5 linked regions of the Xenopus tropicalis genome follow. The protein of the gene in region 4 binds, or shares a complex with, the protein of the main gene of each other region. Links are inferred from orthologs where the notes say so. Each region holds a gene or a part of one and is shown on either strand. Other genes may lie near its edges.

What was found.
Region 1: taf1b (region 4) and polr1b share a complex: the UniProt entries of both Homo sapiens proteins name them as parts of the pol I pre-initiation complex. The link is inferred for Xenopus tropicalis from reciprocal best matches to the Homo sapiens genes TAF1B and POLR1B.
Region 2: taf1b (region 4) and ubtf share a complex: the UniProt entries of both Homo sapiens proteins name them as parts of the pol I pre-initiation complex. The link is inferred for Xenopus tropicalis from reciprocal best matches to the Homo sapiens genes TAF1B and UBTF.
Region 3: taf1b (region 4) and taf1a share a complex: the UniProt entries of both Homo sapiens proteins name them as parts of the transcription factor SL1/TIF-IB complex. The link is inferred for Xenopus tropicalis from reciprocal best matches to the Homo sapiens genes TAF1B and TAF1A.
Region 5: taf1b (region 4) and taf1d share a complex: the UniProt entries of both Homo sapiens proteins name them as parts of the transcription factor SL1/TIF-IB complex. The link is inferred for Xenopus tropicalis from reciprocal best matches to the Homo sapiens genes TAF1B and TAF1D.

Annotation. Positions count from the first base shown.
Region 1 is NC_030681.2:38,746,330-38,750,512, reverse strand, and holds the end of polr1b (DNA-directed RNA polymerase I subunit RPA2), read right to left. Parts: intron 4,100-4,183; coding exon 3,929-4,099; intron 3,702-3,928; coding exon 3,545-3,701; intron 3,357-3,544; coding exon 3,160-3,356; intron 2,390-3,159; coding exon 2,136-2,389; intron 1,768-2,135; coding exon 885-1,767; 3' UTR 507-884; downstream 1-506. UniProt on the Homo sapiens protein: Catalytic core component of RNA polymerase I (Pol I), a DNA-dependent RNA polymerase which synthesizes ribosomal RNA precursors using the four ribonucleoside triphosphates as substrates.
Region 2 is NC_030686.2:18,523,029-18,527,011, forward strand, and holds the start of ubtf (nucleolar transcription factor 1), read right to left. Parts: upstream 2,814-3,983; 5' UTR 2,387-2,813; exon of another isoform or gene 2,153-2,386; intron 2,018-2,152; exon of another isoform or gene 1,607-2,017; intron 1,579-1,606; exon of another isoform or gene 1,437-1,578; intron 1,376-1,436; exon of another isoform or gene 1,079-1,375; intron 986-1,078; exon of another isoform or gene 409-985; intron 1-408. UniProt on the Homo sapiens protein: Recognizes the ribosomal RNA gene promoter and activates transcription mediated by RNA polymerase I (Pol I) through cooperative interactions with the transcription factor SL1/TIF-IB complex.
Region 3 is NC_030681.2:9,682,498-9,686,493, reverse strand, and holds the start of taf1a (TATA box-binding protein-associated factor RNA polymerase I subunit A), read right to left. Parts: upstream 2,813-3,996; 5' UTR 2,657-2,812; coding exon 2,548-2,656; intron 1-2,547. UniProt on the Homo sapiens protein: Component of the transcription factor SL1/TIF-IB complex, which is involved in the assembly of the PIC (pre-initiation complex) during RNA polymerase I-dependent transcription.
Region 4 is NC_030681.2:138,009,644-138,013,677, reverse strand, and holds the start of taf1b (TATA box-binding protein-associated factor RNA polymerase I subunit B), read right to left. Parts: upstream 2,812-4,034; 5' UTR 2,647-2,811; coding exon 2,629-2,646; intron 369-2,628; coding exon 270-368; intron 1-269. UniProt on the Homo sapiens protein: Component of RNA polymerase I core factor complex that acts as a GTF2B/TFIIB-like factor and plays a key role in multiple steps during transcription initiation such as pre-initiation complex (PIC) assembly and postpolymerase recruitment events in polymerase I (Pol I) transcription.
Region 5 is NC_030678.2:100,285,161-100,288,673, forward strand, and holds part of taf1d (TATA box-binding protein-associated factor RNA polymerase I subunit D), read right to left. Parts: intron 2,980-3,513; coding exon 2,804-2,979; intron 1,283-2,803; coding exon 1,231-1,282; intron 1-1,230. UniProt on the Homo sapiens protein: Component of the transcription factor SL1/TIF-IB complex, which is involved in the assembly of the PIC (preinitiation complex) during RNA polymerase I-dependent transcription.

The sequences.
Region 1 (4,183 bases), about 99 Mb from region 4:
TTTCCGCAATCAGCAGCTCCCGCCCGCCGTGCCTTGCATTATCCGATAATGCGGCCCCCAGGTAAATTGAGTTTGAGCCCCCTGGTATAACACCATCCTCCAGTAATTTCTCCCATATAGCGGAGGCCCATCCTGATGTATGAGAGTCACATGTAACCAATGCTCTACAACTAGCCTGGTTTTGGTCCAATCTATCCCAAAATAGTGTTACACAATACAGAAACTATGAATAAAAGGCATTTAGTACTTCCACTGTATTCCCTGGTCCCAGGTACACTAGCAAACAATTTTTGGCCACCTCCACTCCATGCTCAAGAGAGTGCCTTTTTTGTGTTACTCGCTGTAGCCCTGGGGTCTGCTCCCCCCTATAGCTACACTGCTTGCAGGCAGCAGGTGTGCATACTTTTCTTTGCACTAAACAAAAGACGTATGTCATTTTAAGCATCTAATTGTACACATGTAATGGTATTTAAAAAAAACAAACAAACCATGAAATACAAAAGATATAAAGACTAATGTGGGAACTGTTGCTTTATGTCACACAGCATTGTTCATGTCACCATATATTTTACTTTAAAAATATATTCCCCCAAAGTCCAAATTCTCTAGACACTTCTGGTAGGGATGTGTGCCGCAAGCATGAGACTTCTGAGCATTTTTAAACTCAGTAAAAATAACTGTTTCCTTTTCACATTGGAAATTGTTTCAGCAGTAAAAATGCTGATAAAAATAATTTAGTCAGATTCAGTCTGAAGCAAACCAAAGCTGCCACAGTGTGAGTTAGCAGTTGAAATCCATACATACAAAGTTTTTACTCAATTAGGAGGCACATTGGTACTACTATAATCATACAGAAGTTGCCCAACACAACGTGGTGTTTGAAACTAGCTCACACTTAGTTTCACACTGATATTCATGGCTGCTAATTCAGCCACAAAATAACGGAAAACATAAGGTACTGATACAGTCTCAACAGTATCCGTACGATCGCAGACTTCACAGTGGTGTTTTCGGTTGCGTATGGATGACCAGGAAGGCGGAGGCTTTTCCAAGAAAGGAGAGAGTAGGCTTCCACATTCTATGCACACATGTGCTGTCGACCTATCCGAGCAGTTAAAAAGTCGATCATGAAGCAGGAAAGAGGTACCGTGGGCCAGCAGTGCATCACGCTCCATTTCTCCAAAACGTATCCCACCTTGAACATTACGGCCTCCCACAGGCTGGTTGGTAACTTTATCCCTGGCACCTGTTGTTCTAACCTGAAACTTGTCAGAGACCATGTGTCGAAGGCGCTGGTAGTAAACCACCCCAATGAAAATATCGGCTTCAAGTTCCAGGCCACTTATGCCACTGTATAGTTTCTCTGTGCCATAGAAATTGTAACCACCTGCTCTCAGCATTTCTCCAAAATATTCAAGGGCAGAGTTTTCTTCAGAAAATGTAAAGGGTGTGGCATCGTGGCAGAGACCATGCAGGGCTGCTGACTTTCCAGCCATGCTCTCTATCAGCATCCCAATGGTCATTCTAGAGGGAAATCCGTGAGGATTGAAAAGGATGTCCGGAACCATTCCACTCTCTGTAAATGGCATATCCTCAGACGGCCAAAGCCTACTCAAAATACCCTTTTGGCCATGCCGACTTGCAAATTTATCCCCGATTGTTGGATTACGGGGGATTCTCATGGTGACACAAACAGACTTAAACTTTCCAAAACCAATGTCATTACTGCAGATTTTGATGTTGTCAATTACACAGTTTTCTTTACTCCTAAAAAGAATAAATAAGAGATACGAATGATATCTGGTGCCTGTCTTATTATAAATAACTATGTGCATAAATGCTCTTTGGTCTTTGTTTGTACAACTTTATTTAAACCACTATAAACAATTTTCAAAGGGGGCTGCTGTACACAACATCAAAAAAGCAAAACAAGGTGTGGAATTGGAGTTATAACATACAATTAGGGCTCAAAGACGAGGAAATTAGGTGATTTGCCCAGGATCAAGAATTTAAACCAGGATCTGTAGTATCAGTATCAGATAGATAATGTATCCATTACTCCTTCTTGTACATTCAAAATAATACTAGGCCATTCATACAGGATCCCAGGGAACTGCAAGCAAATTAATACTTACTTGTAATAGGCAACAAAGCTCTCCCCTGTGTTAAGGTTCAGGTAGCCATAGTAAGGGTCTCCAAACTGCAGAACAGCACCAACAGCAGGGAGGCCATCGCTGTCCAGTCTTCCTTTCACCCGCTCATCATCTGGTTTGATGCCAAAAACTAGATTATCTTCTCCATCTTTAAGTTTTTTACTGAGATCCACGTGATCAGTTTTATACACACTTCCATGAGCAAAGCCTCTTTCCCATGATGACTTGTTCAAGACCTGCAAAACACCAGTACAGATGTCACCCCTGAAGCTGATACTGAACAAAAGATCTGGTTCTTGTATAAGGCTGATGCATTTATTGTGCACTGGAAACTTGAAGTTTTATTTAGTGATTTCTGGTCATTAGCTGGTATGTAGGCCAACATAAGGTCCCACTTATCAATGGTAGGCCCAGTGCCAAGTGCAATAATGGGATTAAAATGTTATCTATTAAAATAGTATGCTCCTACTTGTACTCCCTACAGTTTGGACACAAGGGTGCCCTTTACTTATCACCTGCCTTTAATAAGTATTAAGTACAGGCATCTTCTATGCATTGTGCCTAGTGAATAGTAGGCAAACAAAATGGATGCCCCCACCCCAAGGTGTAAATACAGACACACAGAAAATAAATATTTAATGTACGTAAAAGCAATGCCCTCATATTTTACAGTTTATTTAACAAAAATAAATTGATAACATTTTTAAATAGATAATATTATTCTTATTAATTATATGCATGACATCACCAACTATACCAGCGTTTCTGGTGATGAAGCAACTCATACTCCACCGCCTCTGGCGACTGCCGATACCTGTCCATCTCTGATAGTATTAGGGGGGGCGGGGGGCACACACTGGTTTTACAGCCTTTTAAAACCTCAGCCTAGGCTGGAAAGGGGCAAGTAAGTTTAAGAAATTACTACCTATGACAAATGTTTTTAATAATTTCAATAAATAAGCAGATATGTAAATCTCTATTCACCAAATTTGGGACAACTACTTACCATGGCATCCTCCATGTCATACCCTGTATACGAAATGACTGCTACGATTGCATTGGTGCCAATGGGATAGTTATCCATCTCATAATAATCATACATGGAAGGCCGAACTAAAGGACTCTGTGGGGTCTGTAGCCGGTACAGTTTGTTATCAGAGCGATCCTGATAAGTCATAAGAGGGAAGCCCATTGTCTGCTTACCTGGAAATAATGCAATTTATGAAATTTCAGGAAAAAGCAAGGGTCTCTTCCTCAAGTAATGAACTTTTCTGCTGCAATATTTAGCTCTACATACTATTTTATAGCTCTTACAAGAGTAGATTAAACTTAACCAGAACAAATCTTACATTCTTACCAAATTCTGATGCCCTGCTTAAAAGATGACTTACCCATCTGACACTGATACATGTTTCTGGGACTCTGGTTGTGGTCTGAGAAGGGGATAAAATTTGCTACTACACTCAGCATGCTGTGCGGGAAAAACTCCTGGTGAGTGGTCTCTCCGGGTACAATATCACCTTCATAAACTGCCACATTCAAGAAAACCTGGGGCAAACACAAGTAACACCAGTGAAATACAATACATTATGGATAATTCCTGCAAAGAAAATGAAACTTACAACAGATGTTTAACACATAATACAGGATCAAAGCTAGAGTCATGCAGGAGATTACCAATCAGAGACAATATTGTAATGGAATTCAAGAAGGAGCCTAAAATATGGTCATCAAATTAAAGAAGATTTACTTATGTACAAAACACTGAAAAATACCTGTTCCAAAGTGCCAAGCAATTCCTCTTTACCCAAGGCCAAATTCCTGACGGGACGTACCATCCTGCAGGGGGTGGTGAAAAGAAAAAGCCCAGGGTACAGACTTGCTTTCCCAGTCATTGGGATAAGGACAATTTCAGTCCATGGAGGCACATTCTTTTCATGTTTCACCTGCATTAATATAAAGCAAACATAAAAAACTATTAAGAGATCAAGTTGAAGAAGGTCTTCACTGCACTGATTGCCTCCCTAGTG
Region 2 (3,983 bases), on a different chromosome or scaffold from region 4:
GGTTTAAGGCAGTATAAAAGGGTATGTAGGCATGGGCTGGGAGTAAATATCAGCTTGCTTGGCATTTTACATGCGATGGGTGTGTGGCAAACACAGTCGGGGCATTACCTATAATCTGCCCCTCCAGCTCTACCATTATGGTCACATGGTTCTGGTATGAGGTTAAGGATATTTGGAGTCTCACAGCTGCGACTTTTGGGGTAGTCCAGGAGATATAGGGGGTCACAGTGGCCATGTCTTACTGGAAAAGTGAAGGGGTCCTAAATGGTTTTGCTATTAAACCCAAACGAGTCTAGTGGCAGCAGTGCAAATGTGTGTGTGACGTGACTGATGCTGAACTACAGTTTTCAACAGCAGCGCCAGTTGCAGGGAATCGTACACGGCGTAGGAGCTGCCATACAAACACACCGATCAGTACGGGCCGAGCTCCGGCTACAGGACTGGGTACTAAGAAGCAGCGCTGCTCTATTTCCAGGAAAGGGCGCTCTGAGGTCACAATTCCCCACCCCGAGTCGGGCTAGGACTCTCCGTTCTGCCTGCAGGGGGCCCCCGCCGCCTCTCACCGTAGCACCCGCCCAGCACCGGGAGGGGACGGGATCCGGAAAGAGCAGACGTATCCCACCCCCGAAAGGGAGGAACTTCTGGCTGGGAGCCGGGATTCCTGTTGGGCGCGTCGGGAAGCAGCAGCGATGCGGTCCCGGTAACTGTACAACCCTAGTCCGGTGCGAGGGAGGATTAGCGCGGCAGCGACCCCCAGGCAAAGCCGGGTTCCTAGCCGTAAGGGCGGCCCGACTGAGCACTGCCGCATACCCAGCGGTACTCTCCCGTCTCCAGTCCCAGGGAGGGGTCGCTCCAACCTGACACAACCCACTGACTCTACCGAAGAACCGTCTCACCCGGGAACCCCTGACCCTAGCGAGTAATGCCTGCGGGGCTGGTCCTTACTGGACCAAAACACCAGCTTTCCGGGCACCCTATCCCGCTTAGTCCAACCCCCACCCCGGGCTCTGACTCTCCGTACCAGTAAATAGCATCTTTTCGAGCCCCCGTCCGTAGCGAGGAATACACCCTAACCTACCGCCCGCTTCCGAACCAGCGGCTCCCGAGAAAAGCGCTCCCCCCTTTGTTATGGACCAGCCGTAGCTCCGGCGTCCGCTCCTTCCCTGCCGCGGCACGGCTTCCACTAGTACGGATCAGCCCATTCCGCGACCCAGGGGGAGCCTCCGCCTTAAAACGCTTTTCATTGGGATCGCTGGTAGCCCCGACTCGTTCACCCTGTGCCGGGAAGCCGCTTGGGCTGCCTTGAGCAAGGTGCGGGGAAAGGCTCCGAATCGGATTCGGCTAAAGCAGAGCCCGTATGGTTAAACCATCAGACGATCCAGTCGGGCTGCCTGCGGTAGTATAATGCGCCACAGGCTCGGCCGACTTTCACCCACCTCGTTATTTGCCCACAATGGGTCCCTTCGCTTCTACCCGCGAATGATTCTTTCGCTCCCCGTTAGACACCGGCCGACTGCCTCCTTAACTACCGGCAGCGCAGTCCAGGCAGCATCTGTTCTTCCCGGGAAACAGGGTCACCTTCTACCCCCTCTCCGCTCCTACTCACCGTGAGAAGCGCCGTCCCCAGCCCGAGTCCCCTGCCAGCCCACGTGTCGCGCCCGGAAGCCCCGCAACAGCAGCCGGACGCCCCCTCGCGTTTCCCCGCAATATGCACCCGAGCCCCGGCCAGCTCTGCCTCATGTTCCCGGCCCCCTCCCTTCGGTGCTCCGAGCCGTGTCGGCGCAGCTCCCCGCAATCTTCCCGGGCACCCACCTCTCTGCTCCCCTGGGAACGTCTCTCTCCTTCCCCCTCCGCAGCTCTTACCTTGTTCCCAGCTGCCGGGCCTCACCTTCCGGCCAAGGGGGGAGGAGGAGCCGGAGACTCGGGGGAGAGCGACCTCAGCAGCCCCAGCGCGGAACTAGCAGCCTCTTCCCGAGAAAAACAAGCCAAAGCCCGAGGGGAGGGTGCCTGGGAGAGGGCGCAGCGGGAACCCGGGCTGCTATTGCCCTTATTGGGTTCCACACTGCCCGTCACATACAGTGCCCTTCCCCGCATTAAACAAACCCATGCCCCGCAGGGTGAGCCCGGGCAGGGAAACTGAGGCTACACGTACCTTCCCCATAACCGCAACGGGGTGAGTCGCGCAAGGTGACCGAGAAAAGTGCATGTTTCTCGGCAAGCCCGACTGAATCGTGCCCGCTTGGAGGTGACATTTTCCCCGGGTTTCCCCGCACACTAACGCCCTTCGGTGGCTACAAATTCCCCGGCCGGTAGTGGATTTTATACTAATCCAGCGATCTGTGCCGTATCCGTCCCCAGGTGCCCGCAGACCCCCAAGCCGGCTTACCCCACTGTCTCTCCCAGGGATGTTGGGGGGAATCTGCTTGTCCGGATCTCGGAGACAAAGCGGCTGCGGCAGCCCCTGGGTAATGGCGAGAGCTCCGGGGGAGGGGGGGCGCTGCCTGCTCCTTCTCCCCGCCCAGCGTCGCTGCAGCAGCAGCCGGGCAGACAGAACGCGGGGAGCCGCCTCCTCCTCCTCCCGCTGCTGCACCCTACACAGCCCGGCAGGGGGGCCTCGCCAGCTCCGGGGGAGTTCTATGGAGCTCAGTGAAACCCACCTCCTGTGTGTGTGTGTGCAGCCCGGGCTCGGCTTCCTCCTCCCCTGTACAAGGCTGGGGAAGCGGCGCTTGAATGATGGCCAGATCTGCAGCGCTGGCCCCGGGCGTGGACTCAGACCCAGTCCCCGCAGAGAGCTCGCACTTCCCCCGCCTCCATCGCTCTCCGTGCCTATACAGCCTTCCAATCAGCCAGGCCCCCTCCAATCTCTCCCTGCAACAGGCTCCAGCTGATCCCTCCATCCCTCCCTTTCCTCCATCCAGCCAGCACCGCAATCTGCTCCCCATTACCAGCTGCCGCTACAGGCACCCCTCACATTCACCTCATACGGCAGCAATTTGCTTCCAGCTGTTGTCCAACTACAGCTCCCAGATAGGCTGTGCGGGCATTCTGGGAGCTGTAGTCCAACAATACAGTGATCATGGTTGAAGCAGGGCTTGGTGGCTGCTCAGATCCGGCGGCTGCTGGCTGCTCAGCGCTTCCAACCATACACAGGCGCTAAACCCCCCATAACAGGTTTTTATTCCCTATATGTTGTTCCTGTCTGACTCTTATTTATCTTCTCCTTTTTTTTAACCTAATTTTTTTTTTGACTCCACCTTTGTTGTTGAAAGCGTCAGAGAGAGGGAGCCAATCATGGGGGAAGCTTTCCTGGCACATCAAGGAGGGTTTCTTCTCTCTCTCTCTTTAACATGAACAGCAATCAGGCATAATGAGCGGGGAGCAGCTAGAGATGCCAGGAGCCCATACTGTGCCAGGGGAAGGGCTTTGCGCCTTACAGTTATTAACCCTTATTTATATGGTACTGACACTGCAGCAATGAGCAGAGATTGTACACCAGCCCCCGCTCCAGTGGAGCTTACAATCTAAGGTTGCTACCACATTCACTAGGGTCAATTTATCAGTACCACTTAATCTGCCTGTATGTATTTGGAGTGTGGGAGGAATCCCAGGGAGTTGCAGCTAGTGCCCAGGCTAGAATGAAACCCAGACAGCAGTGCTAACCAGGGGTGTAACTATATACAGGGTTGAACTGGGGGGCCCTGTCCTGGCCCCCACTGTCTGCTCAACTCCCTCTGCCGTGTGTCTTAGCTTATGTGCAACAGGGGAGAGAGCGCCATGGGTTTTGGGCCCAGTCCAACCCTGACTGGGGTGGGGGGCCCGACTGCAGGGTCTGCTGTGCCTTAGTCCCCCCTCCCAGGCCCCTTTCCTACCTTAAATATACTGGTGCAGTCTGGCCGGATGGAGGGACTGGTTGCGCCGGACCCTCTCAAAAGCTTTTTATGCAGGGGGCAACCAAGTTATGCCACTTGTGCTAACCCCTATGA
Region 3 (3,996 bases), about 130 Mb from region 4:
GGTACATTCATAATTTTAACATGATATGTCTCCTTTATGAGGGCTAAATGTATCAGTTTACTGAGGGCAGAGGTTCCCTATATACAATTTAGCAACTCTACAGCCACACCAGGCCCAGACTGGCAATCTGTGGGTTCTGGCCAATGCCTCTGGGTACTGGGAATGCCAGAGGGGCTGCTGTAAGGTACCACAGACAGTCACTATTTATTGGGCTGGGGGGGCGTTTGTGCCTCTGGGTACTGGGAATGCCAGGGGGGCTGTAAGGTGCCACAGACAGTCACTATTTATTGGGCTGGGGGGGGGGCTGTTTGTGCCTCTGGGTACTGGGAATGCCGGGGGGCTGTAAGGTGCCACAGACAGTCACTATTTATTGGGCTGGGGGGGCTGTTTGTGCCTCTGGGTACTGGGAATGCCAGGGGGGCTGTAAGGTGCCACAGACAGTCACTATTTATTGGGCTGGGGGGGGCTGTTTGTGCCTCTGGGTACTGGGAATGCCAGGGGGGCTGTAAGGAGCCACAGACAGTCACTATTTATTGGGCTGGGGGGGAGCTGTTTGTGCCTCTGGGTACTGGGAATGCCAGGGGGGCTGTAAGGTGCCACAGACAGTCACTATTTATTGGGCTGGGGGGGGGGCTGTTTGTGCCTCTGGGTACTGGGAATGCCGGGGGGCTGTAAGGTGCCACAGACAGTCACTATTTATTGGGCTGGGGGGGGGGCTGTTTGTGCCTCTGGGTACTGGGAATGCCAGGGGGGCTGTAAGGTACTACAGACAGTCACTATTTATTGGGCTGGGGGGCTGTTTGTGCCTCTGGGTACTGGGAATGCCAGGGGGCTGTAAGGTGCCACAGACAGTCACTATTTATTGGGCTGGGGGGGGGGCTGTTTGTGCCTCTGGGTATTGGGAATGCCAGGGGGGCTGTAAGGTGCCACAGACAGTCACTATTTATTGGGCTGGGGGGGGGGGCTGTTTGTGCCTCTGGGTACTGGGAATGCCAGGGGGGCTGTAAGGTGCCACAGACAGTCACTATTTATTGGGCTGGGGGGCTGTTTGTGCCTCTGGGTACTGGGAATGCCAGGGGGGCTGTAAGGTGCCACAGACAGTCACTATTTATTGGGCTGGGGGGGCTGTTTGTGCCTCTGGGTACTGGGAATGCCAGGGGGGCTGTAAGGTGCCACAGACAGTCACTATTTATTGGGCTGGGGGGGCTGTTTGTGCCTCTGGGTACTGGGAATGCCAGGGGGGCTGTAAGGTGCCACAGACAGTCACTACTAAGGGGTATACTTACATACCCCCCAACTGTCCCGCATTGCGGGACATTCATGGAACTATCCGGCACAGCAGGATGCGCTTGCTGTAGCCGGATGTTCTTGCTTCGTCGGCTGCTTCGTTATGCCTCTCCTTGTGCAGCGCTACAGGCCCTTTTATAAGGTTGCGCCTGTGGGTGTGACGTCATTACGCATGGGCGCAACCTTATAAAAGGGCCTGTCGCGCTGCACAAGGAGAGGCATAACGAAGCAGCAGAAGAAGCCTGCGCCTATGGGAGGTACTGTGAATGGGGGGCCACTGTGATCGGGGGGGCCACTGTGATCGGGGGGGACACTGTGATCGGGGGGGACACTGTGATCGGGGGGGACACTGTGATCGGGGGGGACACTGTGATCGGGGGGGACACTGTGATCGGGGGGGACACTGTGATCGGGGGGGACACTGTGATCGGGGGGGACACTGTGATCGGGGGGACCTGTGGGGGGGGACACTGTGATCGGGGGGGACACTGTGATCGGGGGGACACTGTGATCGGGGGGACACTGTGATCGGGGGGGACACTGTGATCGGGGGGGACACTGTGATCGGGGGGACACTGTGATCGGGGGGACGGCTACTGTGTATGGGGGGCTACTGTGTATGGGGGGCTACTGTGTATGGGGGGCTACTGTGTATGGGGGGCTACTGTGTATGGGGGGGCTACTCTGTATGGGGGGGCTACTCTGTATGGGGGGGTTACTCTGTATGGGGGGGTTACTGTGTATGGGGGGGCTACTGTGTATGGGGGGGCTACTGTGTATGGGGGGGCAAAACTGGTACTTAGTTATAACTGACTGCCTTCTCTCTATACTTGTATTTATATGTAGGAGTTGCTATATTGTTTTCCTTAGGTAGTACAGTATGAGGGTATAGCACATTTTCGTCTGCGCCCGCCATTTCATCTATATAAAAGGGGTATTTTTTTTTAATGGGGTGTGGTAATTGGGGCGTGGCCACAAAAGGGGGCGTGATTAAAAAAAATGCCGCACTGCGCGCGCGCCAAATCTTTTTGTCCCTCTTTTCATTTTTCAAATGTTGGGAGGTATGTACTTATCATGCTGTGTAAAAAGTGGAGTAAAGCAGTACTGGTGATGTTACCCAGAGCAACCAATCAGCAATTAGATTTCAACAGTTAGAAAATCAAATCAAAGCATCTGATTGGCTGCTATATACAACAACACTGGTGATGTTTTACTCCACTTTTTACACAGCATGATCAATATACCCTTAAGTGTCTTTACCGTGGGGTTTCCTTCTTGGCACCGGCAGCTGGAGCCCCAGAACCTCCTCCTCACTCGGTCCCTCCTCGGAATCTTCCCTTTCCGCACTGCGTTCGCTGCTCCCATCCATCTCCCCTCGGTTACAATCAGACAAGCGGGCTGCTTCCCCCTCACACTGTGTTTACATTCCCCGCAGCGCCGCTTGCACTTCCAGCCCCAAGCATCCCGCAGGCATGTTCAGCCACACGCCGCTAGCCTCCTCTCGCGAGAATATGACGTCATGAACCACGTATAAAAGGGGCGGAGACGGCGCCAACTCGTCATTGGGTGAAGAGTTAGTCAGGCAATAGCTGGCAGTGGGGGCCGCTGACTGATTATTCTGCTCTCACAGATTCTGATTTTGTTAGAGAATAAATAAAGAAAATAACGACTGCTTTTTTCCTTCGTGTTTCCTTGCCATGGCCACTGCCCTTAGAAGCTTTATCCCCAGTGTTTGATGAAAAAACAAATATTTGCTTTCTCTGCTCCACAGAACATGTAAATGGGAACAAAAAAAACACTTTGTTTATATTTGTGGGTGAGGTAAATATGAAAAAAAGCTTTATTTTTCTGGTGATTACCAGCAATACCCACTACCCTCAGAGTCTGCTCCTGATATCCCAAACTTAGTATTTTATTTGAAGTTACACTGCCATGTTTTTGTGAATAATGGACATGGTTTTAATTTTTGATTTTTAAAAACCCTATAACCCACCCAGTTTTTCAATTATTGCCTCACTATTGTTACAGTTGGCCCATACAGAACATTTGGTCATTCCTTTCAGCTTTGATCCCTTTGGACATCCTTGTTACAGCCATACTAAGCAATAGGCAGCAATAGTTACAGCTATACTAAGCAATAGGCAGCAATAGTTACAGCTATACTAAGCAATAGGCAGCAATAGTTACAGCTATACTAAGCAATAGGCAGCTATAGTTACAGCTATACTAAGCAATAGGCAGCTATAGTTACAGCTATACTAAGCAATAGGCAGCAATAGTTACAGCTATACTAAGCAATAGGCAGCAATAGTTACAGCTATACTAAGCAATAGGCAGCAATAGTTACAGCTATACTAAGCAATAGGCAGCTATAGTTACAGCTATACTAAGCAATAGGCAGCAATAGTTACAGCTATACTAAGCAATAGGCAGCAATAGTTACAGCTATACTAAGCAATAGGCAGCAATAGTTACAGCTATACTAAGCAATAGGCAGCAATAGTTACAGCTATACTAAGCAATAGGCAGCTATAGTTACAGCTATACTAAGCAATAGGCAGCAATAGTTACAGCTATACTAAGCAATAGGCAGCAATAGTTACAGCTATACTAAGCAATAGGCAGCAATAGTTACAGCTATACTAAGCAATAGGCAGCTATAGTTACAGCTATACTAAGCAATAGGCAGCAATAGTTACAGCTATACTA
Region 4 (4,034 bases):
TTATAAGAGGTTATTAGACATAAGACAAGACATAATGAGTCAAACAATTTGGCAGCACCTTGTACTGGGCAAAGCCAGATGCAAGAACACTAAGAATACCTGAAGTGAGAATAAATTGAGGAAAGGTTTTGGTGATTGTTGTCTTTATTAAAGATGGTAGATAAAATAAATAGGGTCAAGGTTCATGGATTAGGAGGAAGAAGTCACCCAGATGGGTGTTCAGAAGAGTGAGAGACAGGCGAAAAGACTTGTTATATCTACTTACATACCTCTATGACAGTGTGGCAGCTCTTGCAGTAGAATGTGCCCTCATCACTTATTGCCCAGTTAACCTCAGAACATTGCGGACAAGGCTTGTTGTAGCCTCTCTGTTGAAGATATAAAACAAATCAGAAAGCAGAACAAGGTTATTCAAAACAATATACATATTATTAAACTGCCTTGGTCAAGATGACCAACCTAGGCCTAATTCAGTGAGTGGCTCCCCGGAAGATGCATTTATTACACATCCCTGAATTTTCGAATGATCTGGTCATCCTAACCTGCCTGTGTGCTATACTCTACCTGCCCTATGCTGCCTGTGTGTGATATACTCTGCATGTCCTGTGCTGCCTGTGTGTGATATACTCTGCATGTCCTGTGCTGCCTGTGTGTGCCATACTCTGCCTGCCCTGTGCTGCCTGTGTGTGCCATACTCTGCCTGCCCTGTGCTGCCTGTGTGTGCCATACTCTGCTTGCCCTATGCTGCCTGTGTGTGCCATACTCTGCCTGCCCTATGCTGCCTGTGTATGCCATACTCTGCCTATCTCATGCTGCGTCATACTCTGCCTGCCCTATGCCGTCTGTGTGTGCCATACTCTACCTGCTCCTGTGTGCCATTCTATCTGCCATACTTTGTCTGTTGTGTGCCATACTGTGCCAGCCTTACACTGCCTTTGTGTGCCATACTCTGCCTGCCCTATGCTGCCTGTGTGCGCCATACTCTACTCAGTAATTATGTGCTGGGAGTTGCTGTGTATCCACAGAGGAGGAGGCATATGGATTTAAGGGTGTATTAATATGACATAATATAATTCTTTAACATATGAAGGAAGGGTGATTTCCTGCAGTGAGCACCAACTATTTGGGTATTTACTGTGCTATCACCATTAATGTGAGTGTGGTCTTAAAAGCTCTTGTGATAACATTAGAGCTGTCAACCTGACCCCAAACCGCTTACTGGGCATACACACCACAAAATTCACCACAGGTTTTTGCGAGAATCAGGAGAATGCTGCTGGAGGACAAGAGAAAGGGGGAGAACCACCAAAGTTGGGTAACTCCTAAAGAAATGGGGGGGCAGCTCTGTAACATGGGTGTGGTTTGAATGGGAATTGTCAAAACTAGCTTCCATTATCAACCCTCCACCACAAAGACAGACCTCAGTACCATAGTTGAACAGCACTGCTTTCAAACAATCATTTAATTTTCTCGTCTGATGTATTTTATACTTAATATAAGGCAGCTGGATAGAACTGCTAATGTTTTAAAAAAGAGCAAACAAAAAGGTAGTTATTACCAAACTGACCTCCAAAAAGCTATGGTTTGCCAGGTTAGCATACGTGAATTTGATTGTTTACAGTGTAACCCTTTTGAAATAAAAAATAACAAAAACGGTATAACGGTGATACCTTTATTGGCTAACTAAGATAACCATAGCAAGCTTTCAGAGGTAATCAGCTTGACAAAGGAACTAGAACAGGGGTCGGGAACCTTTTTGGCCGAGAAAGCCATAAACACCACATATTTTAAAATGTAATTCCGTGAGAGCCGTACAATATGTTTGGCCGCGGATGCTGCGGGACAAGGTAGGGTGGGTCCCAATGATACCGGATGCGATGCGGAGGAGGGTGTGGCCTGCGCTCGGCAGATAGAAGACGTGTTCTAAGGCTTAGAACACGTCTATCTGCCGAGCACAGGCCACACCCCCGTTTGTTTTTTTTATTAAAGATTTGGCAGTGAGCCAGATGCAGCCATCAAAAGAGCCCCATCTGGCTCCCGAGCCATAGGTTCCCTACCCCTGAACTAGAATGTTCTGAAAGCTTGCTATAGTTATCTTAGTTAGCCAATAAATGTATCACCTTTATACCACTTTTGTTATTTTTTTATTTCAAAAGGGTTATTCTGTAAACATTTTGACTGACTAACACGGTACATCACCTTTTCGTGAATATGAGTGTGACGCACTATTGTACAAAGTTTGCTGCATGCACTGTAATCCACAAAACCAATTAGCAGATGGCATTTGTTTAATGAAAGCACATCGCTTTTTGGTTGTTAAGGAGTCTAAAGTAAACTTGGCACCTTATTACATATCCAACTGAAAATTAATATAGCATTTCCCATGAGTTACTTCCCCACATGAGGCTATTCCCAAACTATCGCTCTTCTCAATATAGCCATGCATGAAATGCCTCAGCACATCCAATACCCATTAAAGCTTTATACACTTCCACTGCATTTGACACCACACGTAGAAGAAACTCGAGTGGGATGAAAACCCTAATAGAACCAACGCGACTTCTCCTACAACTACGACACGTGACTCGCCGAGCGTCGCCGGGCATGACGTCACACGCCCTTACTCACAGCGTCTTCCTCCTCCATAGTGCGTTACGTGTCCGGGGTCCGCGCTATGAAGGGAAGCTCCGCTAATGGTCAAATTTTGGTGCCGGCGGCGCCGGTAAACTCGCGGTTACAGGACTGTGGATTTTTGTGGCGTCGCGTAGTTTTCGCGTCACTTCCTTTGCCATTTCCTGGCCGCTACTAATAGTCACGTGGTCTGCATGAACCCATCGATTTTGTACCTACACAGTAGAATGTTCCAGCTTTAATGCTGAAAAGCTCTGCACTGTAAAGAGATAATGCCATGGGGTTCAGACGTATTCAGGGTCAGGGAGACATTAAGGAAAGGTTCAGTGTAAATATAAAACTGGGTGAATAGGCTTTGCAAAATAAAGCATGTTTTTAGTATTATTAGCCAGAAATCCTAGTATTATTAGCCAGAAACCTATAAAGGCTGGCAACGGATGTCTTATGTAATAGCCAATAACACTGGATAAATCATGATGTCTTCTACAGCAGGAATTGTTAATCTCAGAGGAAAGTCTTACACTTCGGGGTATATTTATTATGCTGTGTAAAAAGTGGAGTAAAACATCACCGGTGATGTTGTTCATAGCAGCCGATCATATGCTTTGCTTTGGTTTTCTAACTGTTGAAACCTAATTGCTGATTGGTTGCCCTGAGCAACATCACTGGTAATGTTTCACTCCACTTTTTACACAGCATGATAAATATACCCCTAAGTGTGCAATTCTGGCAACAACCAAGTAGACCTGTGCTCCATGCAAGGGTTTATCTCTGGAATCCCAGGCACCTTCTTCAACCCACAGTTGCCCCTCCAGTGCGCCAACCTGCATACCAGGTCCTCTCTGTTTAGGCCCCCAAAGGCCACGGTCTGCTCTCCCTATAGCTGTGCCACGTCTCTCCTCTTTAATCAACCGTCATCTGCCTTTTCTATAGAACAGTTGAAAACCCTTAAAGGTATTTTTCTCCCTGAAATCTTCATTGGAAATCTTACAGAGAGACATCAGCTTTATACCCCTCAGACTTGGCTAACAGGGTAAATAGCACCGTCAAGGACATCTGGACAAAAGATACAATTTTTCTGCAGTTTATCATGTTTCTGGTAACATCAAGACATGATTTACAAAACTTTGTTATGGTAATTTGCACTTTCTGTTGTGCACCCAATATTTTATATTTTATATATTGGGTACGCTTGATAAAGGGTATTGACCCGAAACATGTCGTGTTACCACTACCCACAATAAATGTTTTGCAGTAAACCTGCTGAAGCTTTTTTCCTATTTTTTGGATTGGAACAAAATCACTTATTAACATTGCGCAAAGCTGGTTCCGTCTTAAACCTCTTATGTGGTTGATGGAAAAGGTGGCTCTACAAAATTTTACATTGAGGAGACTGAATACCT
Region 5 (3,513 bases), on a different chromosome or scaffold from region 4:
TCAAAGCAGCCAGACAGGTGGGGGGCCACGGGCCGCGGGCCGCCAGTTGGACAGCACTGAGGTAACCTATTGTTTCTCCTACTCCCATATAACTGTAGGAGTCGCAAGCTGGACTTGGCTTTCTTACTACTGAGTGCTATTCTGATATCTGCTGAGAGCTGCTATCTTGCAACCTTCCCATTGTTCTGCTGATCAGCTGCTGGGAGGGGTGTCACTCCAACTTGCAGCTCAGCAGTAAATCATTACTGAAGTTTATCAGAGCACAGATCTCATGGTTGTGGCATTCTGGGAAATTAGAAATATGGTTAGCTCCACGTTAAATTTCAAAATTAAATGAAAAAAAAAAAAAACAGTTTGTGTTTTTGAAAAATAGATTTCAGTGCAGGATTTTGCTGGAGAAGCTCTATTAACTGATATGTTTTGAAAAAAATTATGTTTTCCCATGACAAATTCGGATTAAATACGATAATTTGTGATGATAGGAAATGTCACAAAAATGCTTACGAAAAAATGATAATAGTCGCGATAATATCAGAACAGCGTTCTGACTTTGATCCTTCTGTGCATGTTTTTGAAAGCCTCCCATAGGACTCAATGGCAGTCTGTAGCTCCAACCTGGCCCAAGAAAAGTCACGATAACGAAGCTTTAATGAATCCGAAACTTCCGTACTCGTTGCGACAAATACGATTTTGTTGCACAAATTGTCGAACAAGTCGTGCAAATTAACGAAAAAAGTTTCAAAAAATACAAACAGTACGAAAACTTAGAAAAAATACAAATTTTTTGTATTTTTTGTATTCAGTACTTTGATGAATGTGCCCCTATGTGTTCCTGCCTATTGTTGATAAATTACCCCAATTGAGATTTCAAGAGGAGAACTGAGGAAAATATAAGCATCTATGTTAAAACACAACCCAAACATATAAGGATATGGTAATTGATAAAAAGTTCAGTGGAATTGATTGCTTAAGTTGTGCAGAATATATTGGTAGTAATATGTGGGATAGAAAGGTGAGAATACCAGCGAGAATAGAATGAATGCATGTATAAGACACAGTGATTAAAAGTGTAAAAGTTTTAAGTCTAGAATTGAGATCACAAGTCAAAAGGAACAGATGAGAAAGTTCTCTCTATTTTTTTTTACCTATGAATATAAGGCTCATCAACAGACAGCAATCTGGATAAATACTTTCAAAAGAATATTTGCTTATTAGAAAGCTGTGACTCACCACAATTTTTGCATCATAATTACACAGACCTTCATTACTGGTAGTATTCGCACTGTAAGATTGTAAGAAAAGCATTATTGCTTATTGTATTCAATGATTCAGAATCGAGTTAACTATACACACTTAAAGGGGTTGTTCACCTTCAATGTCCACCAAAAATTCTCTCATGTAAAGCGCACTGTAAAATCTACTTCTGTCTCCCTGATCAGTTTTCAGAAGGGATGGGAGTGGCACCTGACACACCGAGAACTTCCAATATGCTTACATCATCAAGTCCAGGCTTTGCCCTTACTTTTTTCCTACTCGACCAATTCATTGGTTGCTTCTACACTCTAACCAGATACATAAATTAAAAAGGTCATTGGTTAATTTCTTCCTTGCTAAGGCATAGGCAAACAGACTCAGCATATCACAAATGTACCATTCTGTTATATTATATTTGCACAAGAGACACAACCAGTACTGGCAGTACTATGTGTGACATTATATAAGGATATAAGGAAGTAAAACAGCAACCCCCCCCAGTACAGGGTCTGTGCAGAAGTGAAGGATCAAGAGGGATGATTCTGAGGTTACTATCTCTTCAGCTGCACATTTTTTGTTAACTATGTATATGGCAATGATTGTTCCATTAATGTGAACTGTTAGAACAGTTAGATTTGTTAATGTTGTACAAAGATGAACAACCCCTTTATCAATTCTGTATAATCTATGTGAAGTGCTATGCAATATATGGGTGCTGTTTAATATAATAGTAATTCTATGTTTAAAATATTTTGCAAAAAAAATATTAACATGCAAAGCACAATGCATTTTTATGAAGTTTAGAATGAATGCCTGAGCAGCTTCTGTGTACATTTAAATCAAGTAGCATTTTAAACATTATGATTTAAAGAGGCAAAAAAATAAAAAGGTATAATACTTTAAAAATAAGTCTGCACCTCTGTTAGGTGGAAACAATATTCCTAACATAGGTGCCCTTAAGGGCTCTGGCACACGGGGAGATTAGTCGCCCGCAACAAAACTCGCTGTTCGCGGGTGACTAATCTCCCCGAGTTGCCATCACCTGCCATCCCACCGGCGAAAATGTAAGTCGCCGGTGGGATGGCACACGCGGTGAGATTAGTCGCCAGCGAACATGGAGTTTTGATCTCAGCTATAACGGCTAGAGACTGCAGGAAGGATGCTACCTAAAATGGCAGCTGCTAACTTAAGCAAACGGAGAAAGCTTCTAAAGCCGTTTACTCAGGTATGTTAATGGTTTCTGCAGAATAAATATATTGTTCTAGGTTGCACTAATGTGGCAGATCTATTGGTAGTAAAATGCCAAAATGACTTTCCTTCTCCTTTAAGCACCTTTTCTTTTTTAGTTGCTGCTGTTACCACAATATTTCTACTTTTCCCATTTTCATTTTTAATACTATTGTCTGCATCATAATAAAAGTCTAGTTTTGGGTGAACTGCCACTCTAGTGACCCTAGTAGATGGAACTAGTTTTTATCACATATTATAAATGTAAAAATTAAATCTTTTTAGGATAAAGCACAGTTGCTGATCAAATGTCAATGCTTACTCGTGCTCAGCGATAGGTGAAATCGGTCCAGCATCATCCAGGTACCCATATTTATGCATTTCTAAACTTTCATTCTCTAAATCTTCCCCTAAATCCATGCCCTGTAATGAATTTTGCAGATGTCGATCACACTTAAGCTTTTCAATATGGCTCAGAAATCCACCAAAAACAGATTGCTGGTAAAAAAAAACAAAAAAAAAAAAACACACATTAGACCAGCGGTTCTCAACCTGTGGGTCGGGACCCCTTTGGGGGTCGAACGGCGCTTTCACAGGGGTCGCCTAAGACCATCGGAAAACACATTTTTCTGATGGTCTTAGGGCTCTGGCACATGGGGAGATTAGTCGCCCGCAACAAGTCTCCCTGTTCGCGGGCGACTAATCTCACCGAGTCGCCATCCCACCGGCCACAATGTAAGTCGGCAGTGGGATGGCACATGCGGCGGCGCAATTTCAGCAAATCGCCGAAATTGCCTCGCGAGGCAACTTCGGCGATTTGCCGAAATCGCTTGCGCAACGTGTGCCATCCCACCGGCGACTTACATTGTCGCCAGTGGGATGGCAATTCGGGGAGATTAGTCGCCCGCGAACAGGGAGATTTGTCGCGGGCGACTAATCTCCCCGTGTGCCAGAGCCCTTAGAAATAATTTTATGGCTGGGGGTCACCACAACATGAGGAACTTTATGAAAGGGTCGTGTGGCATTAGGAAG